Regions from separate parts of the Mus musculus genome. Here regions 2, 3 and 4 are each reported to be linked to region 1. The links are microRNA targets in miRTarBase. Many come from high-throughput screens and were not tested one by one. Region 1 holds a microRNA gene; each other region holds the end of a gene's coding sequence.

Region 1 (3,399 bases):
TGTGCTTGCGTCTTTCCGTAACCGAGCCAAGCGGAGGGGATGCAGTAGGAGGGTGGGTGGGTCACAGAGCTGTAGGAGGGTGATGAATGGGCGGAGTGGGTGGGCCGACAGGAACTTGGGAGACTAAGGCTCCAGGTCCAGAAATGCATTCTGTGGGTATGATAAGCCAAGGGTGTGTGTGTGTGTGTGTGTGTGTGTGTGTGTACGCGCGCGCGCGTACCTGCCTGCAGGTCCATTCTGGGATGGCAAAAAAAAAAAAAAAAAAAAAAAAAAAAAGTGAAAAAGCCAAAACAAAACCCAACTTTTGCCCCCAAGTTCTTGTGATGCTTGTAGTAACCACCCTGACTTAAGTTTTTTTTTTTTTTCACCCCCTACTGGAAGGGAGATAGGCGTTTGTTTAATCACACCCTTTGGCATCCCTGGGGCTAGGCAAGAGGGCACTGGGACTTGGGTGGGCCTGCACATAAAGAAGAGGGCATCCCCCTTAAGTTAGGCTAGATGGAATGGGGGAGGGACTTAAAGGGCAGGGAGGAGGGGGGAGAGGAGAGACTTTGCCCCCTCCTTCCTCTCTAGCTCTCTATTCCCCTCCCTCCTGCAGATGCTGGAATCTCCTGTCACTGTGACAGTCAATGCCCAGCTCACCCTTTCTTGTTCCCTCAATATTTTGCAGAAGGGGGGGGCAACAAGGAAGGGCACCTGAGGCAAATGGGCCATTAGACACCATGATCTGGACAGGTTGGGGGCTCTGGGGGAGGGAGAAACTTCACCCTTCTTAGTGAACATTCAGAACTTTGGGGGGGCAGAGTGGGGTAGGGGGACTCGAAAAGGTCTAATTTTCTAGAAATAGGCCAACTAGAGTGGGATTTGAGCTTGTTTTATGTTCATCTTTGCCAGTCATTTTCCGTCTGGTTCTTCTGGCTTAGGTCCCGATGGAAGAGGTCGCTCTCTTGAATCCCTCTTTCCCAATATACACTGCCACCCCCTCACCTGGGCTAGAATGGGAGGGAGTCATGGACAGCTTTTGGAACAACAATATTTTAATGTGTTCTAGTCTAGGTTTTGTTGAATAATTAGAAATGGAAATATTTTTCTCCCTCCCCCTTCTGGAAAAAAAAAAAAAAAAGAAATGTGAGCTCTCTTCTGATTGGTGGGTGACGATTTTAGTCCACACCAATGAGCTGGCGGCCTTGTCTGTATTTATTTAGTGCTCTGGGGGAGTTTTTCTCTTTACGCAGCGCCTGTAGTCACGGCTGGAACCTCTGCTGGGGGACTAGGGAGGATAGGAGGGGATTCGGGGGAAATCTGGATCGTACCTGCTCAGAGATCCACGACCTTGCAGTCAGGGCTGTCAGAACCCTGATGGGGGAATTGGGTGATAGACTAGATAGGATCGGAGGCTTGGAGTGCTAGGGCGAGAGGGGTGGAGGCAGGGCTCTGGGATCCGGGGTCCCCCTTCGAGCTACCCTTATCGCTCTCCACTACCTCTTCGAGGTTGTGCAAGGCTGAGTCGGGGGATCTGGAGATAGAGAGAGGGATGGGTTTGGGGACGCGAGGAGGGGAGAGCGGCGCGCAGGGTGGGGAGGATGAGCCGCGGTGGAGCGCGCCGGGGAGATCCAGTCTCCTCGGCTTCGGGGTTCGGAGACATGCTGGGCTAAAGGCGGCGGCGACGGCGGCGGCGGTGGCGGCGGACCGAAGAAGCGGGTAGACTGCCTTTCGCGAATCTTTTTGCGGTCTGGGCTTGCTGTACATAACTCAATAGCCGGAAGCCCTTACCCCAAAAAGCATTCGCGGAGGGCGCGCTCGGCGACGTGACTGCAGCTACCAGCGACCGCCGAAGCCAGCACCTTCCCGAAGCGGCTCCATCCGAGACTTCCCCAGTTTTTCTCCCCGTTTTCCACGGAAGAATCAGCTCTTTCCTCCCCGTCCTTTCCGCGCTCCGCGAGGCTTTGATCACTCGCTTTCCCGAGACATGTCCCCCGCCCCCAACTTTTTAGTCGACTTTGTACCACAGGGGGAATTGGAGCGGGTGGCGTGCGTGTGTTTTCGAAGAAGTGAGAAGAAGCTAAAATGTAATAAAAGTTTACAGAAGTTGTGTCGTTCCCCCACACCCCACACCCCAAATATCCCCACTCACAATAAGGGGGGGGGGCATGGCCATAGGGCCAAGTCAGTACCTAGAATATGAATCAGTTTAGGAAATTTTACGGTCATTTTTTTTTTGACCCTAAGGATTGGAATCTAATATGGGGGAGGGGAAGCCCTTGAGGGAGGGGCGGTAGGCCCTAACCATCCTCGGTTAGGATGAGCGGAATCTAGAGGAGGTGAGATGAATCTCCGTGAATCCGGTAGCTCCGAAAAAGAGGGAAAAACACCCAGGCACCGCCCGCTCCCCGGAGCCTTCTTCCTGAACCTGCTTCCAACCTAATTTCAGGCGTGTTGCAGGCTCCAGTACCCACCCATCTCCTCTTTTTCAAAACTAAGTAGCGCAGGAGAGGATGAAACAGGCGGAAACTAGGGAAAACCCCGCGGGGAAGGAGCTTCTGCGAGCTGCAGTTGTTTAGCAGTGGCAGAGGCAGCAGCCCCATGCTGGCCACTCGAGGCTCCTAGACCTGGGAAGGGAGGCAAGCTGCAAAGGGGAGAGCCCGTGGGTCCCCCTCCTCCCCCTCCACTCCTTGCAGTCGTGACCACTTCGGTTACAAGTGGCACAAATCAGGCCTTCAACACGTTTTGTGCCCCGTGCCCTTCGCTAGCTAAGAACACTGCTAGACACCCTTGCCCTTAGGGACTGGGCCAGAAGGACACACAGACACACGCAAATGTCTATGGGGGTGAAAAGCAGTTAGAGGATGTATCTAGGGATGTGATAGCCCAACACCCCGGGGCTGCAAAGCTTCCCATTTTCGGGGAGGGCCTGAATTTCCCCCCGCATCCCAACCTTTCTGCTTTCAACAAACTCTCTGACTCATTTTGGGGGTCCCATAGTTAACCACCTAAGCTCTACTCTCTCTACCCCCTCCTGAAAGAAAAGAAAGGCTAGCAGATGCTGAGAATGCTGGACAGAGGCAGCCGGTGCTAGCTCAGTACGTAAGAAGGCACAGAATGCGAGAACTCCAGACTCCACAGCTAAATCAGGGTCCTTCTCCCCTGATAAAGGATATTTTTTTCCTCCGAATGTATTTTCTGAAAGAGTAAAAGGGTCTCAAAGATTTGAACATGCTATGGAGAGGGAGCAAAAGCTGTGGGGGGATTTTCTTCCTGCCTCTCACCTGGGGCCGTCTGTGGAGCGATAGCTCTGCAGAGGGAGAGGCAGAAAAGCCACGTTAGATTAAAAATAGCTTCGCACTGTGTCCCTTCACCTACTCTTCTGTCTTTTTCTTACTGTATCCCACCTCCTTTCCC
Region 2 (3,399 bases), not on the chromosome of region 1:
GGGGAGAAGGTTGGGGAGCACAGATGATTGAGTCTAGTACACAATGTATTAGAAGACACAGGTGCCAGGAAGAAGCAGGCGTGGACGGTGATGGGATTAGGGGAAGCCCAGCAAGAGGATTGGAAATATTCAATATAGTGCCAGCATTGTCATCACTGTCATGGGTGGGATTTGCAGGAAACTGGCTGGCCATATCCCTCTGGGATTCAGTTTCCTTATCCAGAACCAGGCAGGAGTGGTGATTTTAACATCACCTGAGGAGATTAACAGTCCTGACATCTAAGACCTACCCCAACACCCACTGTGTCAAAAATCTCCCAAACTGAGGGAGACTTCAGGGACTGTAAATGGTTCCATGTCCACAAGAGTGTCTGGGAGACTCTGACATGTCTGGTTCTCATCTAGAGGGAGGCCTGAGCTTCCCAACTTCACCTGTCACCCTCTTCCTTTCCAACCCAGGGTCTAGAGATTGTGAACCCACAAGCAGCCGAGAAGAAGGTGGCAGAGGCCAACCAGAAGTATTTCTCTAGCATGGCCGAGTTCCTCAAGGTCAAGGGTGAGAAAAGTGGCACCATGTCTACCTGAAGGAGCCCGCACTCCAGGTGACCATCCACTGAAAGGACATAAAGGACTGGAGCTTCTGAAGTGACAGATATCCAGCCAGGAAGTTGTGGTGTGGTGGAGGCAGCCTTCCATGCTTTGCCTTTGGCCCAAGGCCATAGCATCCAAGAAAAAGGATGAAGAACCTTAGCCTGCCTCCCCCAGCATCCATGCTGCTGCTTCCCTAAACGGGCAGAAAGGTCTTCCTCACACTCAGCTTTTTTACTTACAGGGGGAAAGGCAGTGCTTTTATAGAACGAGTACAATTAAATGTGTAGTGTCGGGCTCTGAACAGAGGGTGTGAGTGATTATGAAAGAACCAAAGGACTCAGAGCTGTGGGGCTTCCAGTGTGAGCAGCATGGACCCAGCTCTCTTCTGCTCTTATCCTGGAATCTAAGAAAAACCCTGTCTATCTCTAACACCATCACCTGCCCCATGAGAACATCAGCATCATGGCCACCACAAAACTCCAGGACCCAACAAGACCCACAGGGTTGTTGTCCCTCAGGCTAGACACCTTGGTCCAAGAAACATCCACACAAAATGAAGCACGTAAAAGCCTTGGAAAGTGTGTACAGAAAGCACCCACCCAGTTCTGCATTCATGGTGGAGCCTATTGTTTTAATTCATGTTTGATGAGGGGTCCAAGCCTAGGTCCTCAGCAAGGGTGAGGCAGGCGGGTGTCCTGTGGGAGGGACCAATGCCAGGCAAGCAAAAGAAGTGCACACCACCCAGTCTGACTTGCGAGCCGGGGCTTCAAGGGAGAACGTTGAACAGTGCGAACTGTGTCTGGTTTGTTATGAGTCTGTCGTTCTCTGAGGGAGAGTAGCTGCTGGGCTCCATTTTCTCTGCTTAAGGTTAGCTCTGTTGGTCTAAATGTAGATGTAGCTGGTGAGGTTAGGGCTTTCTATCTTGGGCTTCCTGGTCTCTATTCCTCTCTACATACTGTATCTTAATCGTAGTCCCCCGTGGGTCTGTTGGGGAAAGCCCTTTGTCTGTCACTTCCCTTAGAACCCCTACTCTGTCCCTGGCCTGACTTCATTCTGACTTTGCCAGTGTTGAGTGGAGTGAAGTATGAAGATGTGAGTCTCGGAATTCAAGATGCTGCAGAATGTCTTGAGGACTCACTAAGATATGGTTGCTGGTCGTAAAGTTTGATTTCACTTTTGCTAAGATAGAGCTCAAAAAATGTGTATTTAAGCCTGTAATCCTACTTACTCAGGAGACTTTTGAGGCAGAAGGGTTGGAAGTACTTAGGCTACACAGTTGAGTTCAAGGTCAGCCTAGGCTGTAGGAAAAAGCCAGTGTCCAAAAAAGAAAGGAAGGAAGAAAGCAAGCAAGCAAGCTAGGGAGATCTGGCAAGATAGCACTGTTGGTAAAGTGTATTTCATAAAAACATGGGAACCTTGGAAGGCAGAAGCAGGCAGATCTCTGAGTCTAAAGACAGCCTGGTGTACAGAGTAAGTTCCAGGACATTGAGGGCTACACAGAGAAACCCTGTCTTGAAAAACCCCAAAACCAAAATAAAGCCAAAACAACAGCATAAAACCATGAGTTCAATACTTGGCACCCATATAAAGGCAAGGAGTTGGTAGCATGTATTTGCCATTCCAATGCTGACAAGGTGGACACAGGTATGTATGGTCCTGATGAGTGGCCTATCTAAAACAAAGCAAAACAACCTCAAAAACAGCAACAACAAAAAATGAGCTGCTGAGATTGACTTGGCCTTCATAAGCACATGCATGTGCACCTGCACACAGTACATTCATATGCATATGCACACATTCATATGCATATACACACACAAAATGTTAGGGGGAGTTGACTAAAGAGATGGCTGCTCCTCAAGAGGACCTGGGTTTGATTCCCAGCACCCACGTCAGCCTACAATGGTCTATAGCTCTAGCCCCAGAGAATGACATCCTTTTCTTATCTCCTTGGGCACCAGGTGCACATGTGGTGTAGACACGCATAAGCTAAACACCTATACGTACACAATCAAAGTTTTTAAAGGGCCAGCAATACAGTTCAAACCGGGGTGCCTGCCTAGCAGTGTCAAGGCCATGTCTCAAACATTTTAAAAGGGCTTTGCGGTGTGGTGGCACTCACTCACTCCCAGCGTTACCAGGCAGAGACCAGATTTCTGTGAGTTCTCTGGCGAACCTAGTCTACACAGTGACTTCCAGTTCCTTAAAAGGTCGAAGAAGCAGCCACATGGTGGTAAGCACATACCTGAAATCCAGTACTTGAGAAATGGAAGCAGGAAGACTTGAAGTTCAAGGTCATTCTCTGCTGCAAAGCTCTAGGTCCAATCCAGCCTGTCCTATGTGAAATCTGTCAAAAAGGAGAGGCAAGAATCGACTGGAAATAGCTCAATAGTAGTCTTCCTCCCTAGCATGTTAAGCCTTGGTTTCAAATCTCTCTACTGGAAAGAAAAACAGGAATTTCCATGGATCATTTCAGGGAAAGAATAACTAGTTTCCAACTCTAGCTGTTGATGTAATTGTTCTAGCATAAGTCTTAAGTATCTGGATTCTACCTCCACCAACTCCCCCGGTGATTCTAAAGTGCAGCTCAGCCCGAGAATCATAACTGTTTTTAAGGCCATTAGTATATCCTGGGAGCTTGTTAGAAAAAGCAGAATTGGGGACCGCCTAGATAAGAAGGAAGCTGCATCTTAATAATTTGGCAGGGATTCCTGATAGAGCTAGAAGCAGTTCCCCATTCTTGGGCCCGCATGAAATAGCAAAACTGAATGAATAACAAACTCGAGAGAGTGTAGAAGCTGTTTAAAA
Region 3 (3,000 bases), not on the chromosome of region 1:
AGGGTCTTTTAAGTACAAAACAGACCCTGCCTCCCTTAGCTCTGACCCCCTAGTCTGCCCTCAGCATCTGTGTTCCTGTCATCTCTGCTGGAATCCATGTTTCCCATGCCAGCTCTGAGGCCTCCCCCTCCAGGAAGCCCTCTGTGATCCCCTCAGCTAAGTAGCCCAGAGTGCCATCCTGATCCTGCTGTGACCATAGTACCCAGCACCACTCAGTGGCCACTTTTGGATGTTTTGATATTATTTTGTAAATGAACTAATGCTTTTCGGCAGTAAAGAGGGACTCTACATTTCTATCTTTCTGGGTGTTCTGGGCACTGGGAAGTGGACTTGGGTCCTCTGGAAGGGCTGTGTGTATTTGCAGTCGCTGAGCCATCTCTTTGGCTCCTTTGTTGTTTCTGAAGACAGTATCTCCCCAGGCCCGGTAGGCCTGAGCCTGGCTGTGGACCAGGCTGGCCTCAAACTTGTGAGGCCCCTGCTTTCTAAGCACTCGACTCACAGGCTGCACCCATGCCCAGCTCCCAAGAAAACATCCTCCCCTTGCAGGCCACTGAGTGTCTGACCACCGTGAAATCTGTGAACAAGACCGACAGCCAGACCCTCCTGGCTACATTTGGAGTAAGAGGTCCCCTGGGCATCCCCTCCTGACCACCCCATGGCCCACACCCTGGGGTCCCCTGCAGCTGGGACAGGTAAGGGTTTAGGGCACACTGCCCTGACCTTGAGTCTACCTCTCAGTCCCTGGAACAGCTCTTCACCGCATCAAGGGAGGATCTAGCCTTATGCCCGGGCCTGGGCCCACAGAAGGTAAGAATTTTAGGGGGGGATGCTACAGGGGTTGAGGTATAGGAATGAGCCCCAAATCAATGGACTTTAGACTTTGAAGTTCTATTAAGTGGCTATTGATTTTAGACAGGTCTTAATATATATAGCTCTAGCTGGCCTGGATCTCACTATACACCAGGCTGGGCCTGAACTCACCCTTGCCGCTGGCTTCTGCTAAGATTACAGGCGTAAGCTACCATGCTTGTTTTAAAAGCCTCCATAGGGGCTGGTGAGATGGCTCAGTGGGTAAGAGCACCCGACTGCTCTTCCGAAGGTCAGGAGTTCAAATCCCAGCAACCACATGGTGGCTCACAACCATCCGTAACAAGATCTGACTCCCTCTTCTGGAGTGTCTGAAGACAGCTACAGTGTACTTACATATAATAAATAAATAAATCTTAAAAAAAAAAAAAAAAAAAAAAAAGCCTCCATAACAACCCCCCCCCCCCCCCGGGCCGGGAGTATAGCTCTGATCCCAGCACTGGCTAAACTAAGTGTGGTGAGCATGCTTACAGCAGCCATATAGGGCAGAGGATCAAAGGTTGAGTTCAAAGCCATCCTTGGCCAAACAGCTAGCCAGCCCAGCCCAGCCCAGGATACTTGACCCCATGTATCAAAAGTAAGACATTTTGTTGGTTTGTTTTATTTACTTAATGTAGCTGAGGCTGGCCTTGCACTTCCGATCCTCCTGCCTCAGCTTCCCGAGTGCTGGGATCAAAGGTGTGCACCACCACCGCCCAGCGATGTACTAGTTTTTGTTTTTGTTTTTTGAGACAGGGTTTCTGGGTAGACCAGGCTGGCCTTGAACTCCGAAATCCACCTGCCTTTGCCTCCCGAATGCTGGGATCAAAGGCGTGCGCCACCACGCCCAGCGATGTACTAGTTTTTAGGTCCATTTCCATCCACCTCCGGGCCAGCCTCATGTAGAACCCAGACACCCGAAGCTCCTCAGCCAGGAGAATAAGAGGCAGAACCCCATTCCAAACAGGCGGGCCAGCGACAGCTTTAATGACAGGTTCTCTTCTCCCCTTGCCCCCAGGCCCGCAGGCTCTTTGAAGTACTACACGAACCCTTCCTCAAAGTGCCTCGATGACCTGCTGCCACCTAGGCCCAGTGTCACAATAAAGAATTTTCCATGCCCAGGCTCCAGTGGCTCTGCGTGTTTGCTTGGGGGAGGGGCAGGGAGTGTCTATACAGCTGGTTTCTGACCTCAGCCTGGCGAGTCCCTCCTTCTCCCCTTCCCCAGGGTGTTATTACGGCTCCTGTGCAAGTCTCCTCTGCTGCTTCTCCTGTCCGTGGAAGACATCTCTCATTGGGGAATGGTGTCTTGCACCTCAGTTTCCTGATCCCTCTTTTTCTTCTTGGAGGATCTTTGACTGGCCTTGGGCTCTGGTTCCTCGGATTGTCTTGGGTCAATCACCTTAGACCCGGGCTCCATTGCTTTCTGTCCTCTCTTTTTTCTTTCTTTCTTTTTTTTTTTTTTTTTTTGGTTTTTTGAGACAGGGTTTCTCTGTGTAGCCCTGGCTGTCCTAGAACTCTTTGTAGACCAGGCTGGCCTCGAACTCAGAAATCTGCCTGCCTCTGCCTGCCCAGTGCTGGGATTAAAGGCGTGCGCCTCTCTCTTTTTTCTTGCTGGGTGCTAGAGCCCCCTGGGGCTCAAAGTCATCTGGAAGTGCAGCCTCTGTCTCACCCACCCGCTTTCCCTTTTTCTTCTTTGTCTTCTTGGGGGACACAAGAGCTACTTCAGCCTGGAGCCCATGTTCTGAATGTTCGGTCACCATGAGTACTCCAGGGGGCCCCATCTCTGCCTCCATCCCCAAATTCTGTCTCTTTTCCTTTCTCCTCTTCTTTGTGGGGGACAGGAGGATGGTTTCCTCCTGGGCTTCCACAATGACCTGTGGCTGAGAGTCAGCCACTATACCATCCACTTCCTCTGTCCCATCAGCTTCCTTCTGCCTCTTCCTCTTTTTGGTGGGGAACAGGAAGGTCCCCTCAGGAGGCTCTGTTTGAGCCACAGGTTCTGTGTGCTCCACCTGGGATGTCTCTGTCCCCTTGGACTTCTTCCTCTTCTTGCTGCTGGTGGCAGATGGGACTGGCAGCTCTGCCACGGGCTCCATTGTCTTGGCTTCCATCTCCTCCTGCATGAAATACCTCTTTCTCTTCTTCACACTCACT
Region 4 (3,346 bases), not on the chromosome of region 1:
CTGGTGACCTTTGCTGCTGTTTCTCCCCATGCCAGAGAACAAAGAAAGAGCCCTACAGAGGCAGATAAAGAGGCGCTAAACGCATGCCCCATACCTTGTGTTAATCCGAATTGTGTCCCGGTCAGTCCATGTAAACAAACTAGATCTTAGGAATTCAGAAAGGATAAGGAATTTTAATGCCTTGGTTTAAAAAAAAAGTGACTTTTCATAACTGAGCTGGTTTTGTTTTGTTTTTTTTTATCTTCCTCAGCATGCTCACGCACATTCCTCTGGCTACTTCATAACTCAAGACTCTGCCTTTGGGAATCTGATTCTCCCTGTTTTACCTCGCCTTGACCCCGAATGAAGAAAGCGCCTGCTGCGACAAGGGACCTTGTAATAGCAAATGTCAAAGTTCTCACTCAGCTCTATACAAACTGACTTTCAGAACTTTGGAGAACTTAGCTTTTGTTTCTTTAAAGAAAGGAATGAGTAAGTGAGGGAAAGAGAAGAGGAGCTGGGCGCTGAGACCTCGGGGAGCGGCGGCGAGGACCTGGCTGTGCTGGCCGAGGCGGACTTCTTTGCACTGCCATTGGACTTTCCCTGGGACTCAGGATCGCTTAGTCTCATGAACTCTGCATCACCTTCAACAAGGACTGAATTATCATGTGGGAAGCCCTGGGTTTGACCCCATCACTGCACATACAAGCTCTGAGGATGGCACATGCCTGTGATCTCAGCACTAGAGGAATTGAGGCAGAAGATTGGAAGTTCAAGGCCATCCTTGCCTAGGTAGTGATTTTGAGACCAGTCTAAGGTATATGAGACTGTGCCTCAAAAATAACCAAAATCACCCCAAAAAAGCCATTAATAGTCGTAACTTTAAAGAGACGAGGATGCTTTTTAAAAAAGTGAAGAGCGGGCTTACGTACTTTGTGGTTGCTTGTGCTAAGAAACAAGCTATCTAGAAATAGGCTCTAAGCTAATAACTACTTCTAAGAAAACTCCCCAGTCAGACTCATCTTAAGTCTCTTTCAAATAAATGCTACAGTGGTAGCAAATGAATGATGTGACTAAATACTGTTATGAAAAGCAGCCTAAGAAATGTGGCAGCTGTAAATGGACGTGTACTCTCACTTCATGTTGCTGCAGAAGTGGTGGGCCTGAGTGGTTTTATTTTCTATTTTTTATCTAATTGAAGACTTAAAATTAGGCAAATTAAGGCCTTTTAAACCATTTTACATAGGTTAAACAAGTTGCTCAACAGGGCCAAACTTGAACAAGAACAGAGGTGCTTATTTATATATGTACCTCCCACTACCCTCCCTTTGCCCTATAGAATTAGAGTTTGATTAAAGTGTGAAAAGTATGGCTTAGGGAGTCCTATAATACCTTACACAAAGGTGTCATGATTAAAATTCTATTTTATGAGGGAGTTACTTTGTAAGGATCCTGTCATTTTTCTGTACCCAAGGATTGAACCTAGGACTTTAACAGTTATGGATGTGTTTTACCGAGCCTCATCACCATGGGTAACTGACTGCATCTCCATCCTCTCTGCTGTTGGGGGAATTTAAACATCTTTAGTTGGGGCAATATTCAGTTTTACTCCCTTCTGATAGTTTGCTATAGGTGTTTTCACCAGCCACATACGCCGTCCTGCTCAGTGCAAGTGAAGCAGCAGTGAGCAGTCTTCCTGAGTCATCACACTGCTCCCTGTGTCTGCTGCTGACCCAGGGACCCCCTTGCTCCTGCCCCTCAAAGGGCCATCCAGCTTCCCTCTGCACCTCCTAGTAGTCTTCCTCGTCTTGCATTTCGCTAAGTTCCTGTGCAGTGAGATCTGTGCCTGCCTGCCTGCCTGCCTGCCATGCTTCTGAACCTGCTACTGACGTTAGGCAGAGAGAAGGGTTTCTGCTGTTGAAACCTTGCCTGCTATGTGACTTTGTAATCTAGGTGCTTGTTTTCCCTTCCTGGGTCAGATCAAATACCCGGATGAAAGGGCTGATCTAGATTCACAGTTTGAGGCACAGTCTGTCATGGTCAGGAAGGTCAAGGCAGCAGGAGCTTGAAGCAGTTGGCCACATCTCCTCCACAGTCGAGAATTCGAGAACAAATGGATTCTACTGTGCTGTCTTTATGTAACCAGTATTCTAGCCAGGGAGTGATGCCACTCATCAGTGGGTGGAGCGTCTACCTCAGTTAATACTATCAGTAATTCCCTAAGGCATGCCCAGAGGCTCATCTTGTAGTGGTTCTAGATGTTGTCATGCTGACAGTCCAGTCCCACTAACCAGGAGGACTTTCCAGTGGTCCTCTGCTTCGGGTACGTACCCATTTCTGTGGGTACCTATTAATATCTACTCTGGTATATGCTGTGTTTGAGGGACAAAAAGGTCACAGAGACCTGCATATGGGGAGGTAACATTGTTGAGGATCCCACTCTGGCATTCATGTTGTCGTAAAGTAAGCAGTTATGGCACAAGACAGGCATCTTGGGCTAGGGCTAGAAGTCTGTAGACGATAGAACTGGCAAGGGACTGAAGGGACACCCAGGCAAAGGTCACATTTCCAGCCAAGCCCAGTGTGGTGGATCATGCCTGTAATCCTAGCACTCAGCTAAGGCAGGAGAATCACTATGAATTCAAGGCCAGTCTGGGCTACAGAGTGAGAGCACAACCCTCCCCCAACCCCCAAAGAAGTATGAAAAAGAATGAGTTTTAGGGATGAAACTGCAGTGTTAAAGCTAGCGCTGGACTCGGATGAAGCCTTGAGTGAATCCATTGCTGGGGTCACGGGTGGGTGATGCATGCAGTGGTGGTGCACACTATAATCCCAGCACTCGGGAGGCAGAGGCAGGCGGATTTCTGAGTTTGAGGCCAGCCTGGTCTACAGAGTGAGGTCCAGAGCAGCCAGGGCTACAGAGAAACCCTGTCTCGAAAAACAAAAAATAGGAACAGTACACAACTGACTATTGTACTTATTTAGGCCAATGTTGTTTAAAGTACAAGTCTCAGCCTGTTTGAGCTGAAAAGGCAGCTTGATGGTTTAATGCATTGTATCAGCATTAAATAAACAAACAAACAAAAAAAGAAAACAGTTTACTGCATATGTTAATAGGCACGTTAGTTTCAAAGTGTTCTGTAAGTGTATGTCTGTGTTTAGTTTATATTCTACTCTATACATCTTCAAGGGCAACAAGTTTGGTTTTTCTCCCTCTGGTCCTTCGTTGGTGTGCGCGTCCAGAACAATCCCTGGTATGTTGGGTAGTTATACCTACTGTTGTTGAAGGAGTAAATATAAGAACACACCCAACCTTGGTTGCCACATAAGAATTTCTCTGACTTACCTTTTAAATAGAGTCTCCCAC

Evidence for each region. Region 1 holds the annotated microRNA mmu-miR-129-2-3p (AAGCCCUUACCCCAAAAAGCAU, at 1,764-1,785, shown strand). A microRNA usually pairs through its seed, bases 2 to 8, with sites in the 3' UTR of a target mRNA and lowers its output. Matches are read on the target gene's strand: a 7mer-m8 pairs with bases 2 to 8, a 7mer-A1 pairs with bases 2 to 7 and ends in A, and an 8mer does both.
Region 2: the mRNA of Prpf31 is a reported target of mmu-miR-129-2-3p. Seed matches in the 3' UTR shown: 7mer-A1 at 2,080-2,086.
Region 3: the mRNA of Cd3eap is a reported target of mmu-miR-129-2-3p. Seed matches in the 3' UTR shown: 7mer-A1 at 2,341-2,347.
Region 4: the mRNA of Inip is a reported target of mmu-miR-129-2-3p. Seed matches in the 3' UTR shown: 7mer-m8 at 1,976-1,982, 7mer-A1 at 2,479-2,485 and 7mer-A1 at 2,891-2,897.

Annotation. Positions count from the first base shown.
Region 1 is chr2:94,239,762-94,243,160 of GRCm38, reverse strand. Mir129-2 (microRNA 129-2) reads left to right here and starts at 1,708; the gene lies at 1,708-1,797. All of the region lies in intron 3 of Mir670hg (a long non-coding RNA gene), which reads left to right. Mir129b (microRNA 129b) reads right to left here and starts at 1,783; the gene lies at 1,719-1,783.
Region 2 is chr7:3,640,338-3,643,736 of GRCm38, forward strand. Prpf31 (pre-mRNA processing factor 31) reads left to right here. Exons shown (of 14, transcript NM_027328.4): 14 at 460-2,148. The coding sequence ends at 585. It overlaps Gm15927 (a long non-coding RNA gene), which reads right to left. Exons shown (of 6, transcript XR_003946711.1): 3 at 2,837-2,938. Among named protein-coding and RNA genes, the nearest start is that of Gm15927, 2.3 kb to the right of the region's middle.
Region 3 is chr7:19,354,555-19,357,554 of GRCm38, forward strand. Cd3eap (CD3E antigen, epsilon polypeptide associated protein) reads right to left here. Exons shown (of 3, transcript NM_145822.2): 3 at 1,453-3,000. The coding sequence ends at 2,427. It overlaps Ercc1 (excision repair cross-complementing rodent repair deficiency, complementation group 1), which reads left to right. Exons shown (of 10, transcript NM_007948.2): 8 at 547-618; 9 at 739-807; 10 at 1,865-1,970. The coding sequence ends at 1,918. Among named protein-coding and RNA genes, the nearest start is that of Cd3eap, 3.4 kb to the right of the region's middle.
Region 4 is chr4:59,769,364-59,772,709 of GRCm38, reverse strand. Inip (INTS3 and NABP interacting protein) reads left to right here. Exons shown (of 5, transcript NM_001013577.1): 5 at 251-3,068. The coding sequence ends at 346. Among named protein-coding and RNA genes, the nearest start is that of Inip, 13 kb to the left of the region's middle.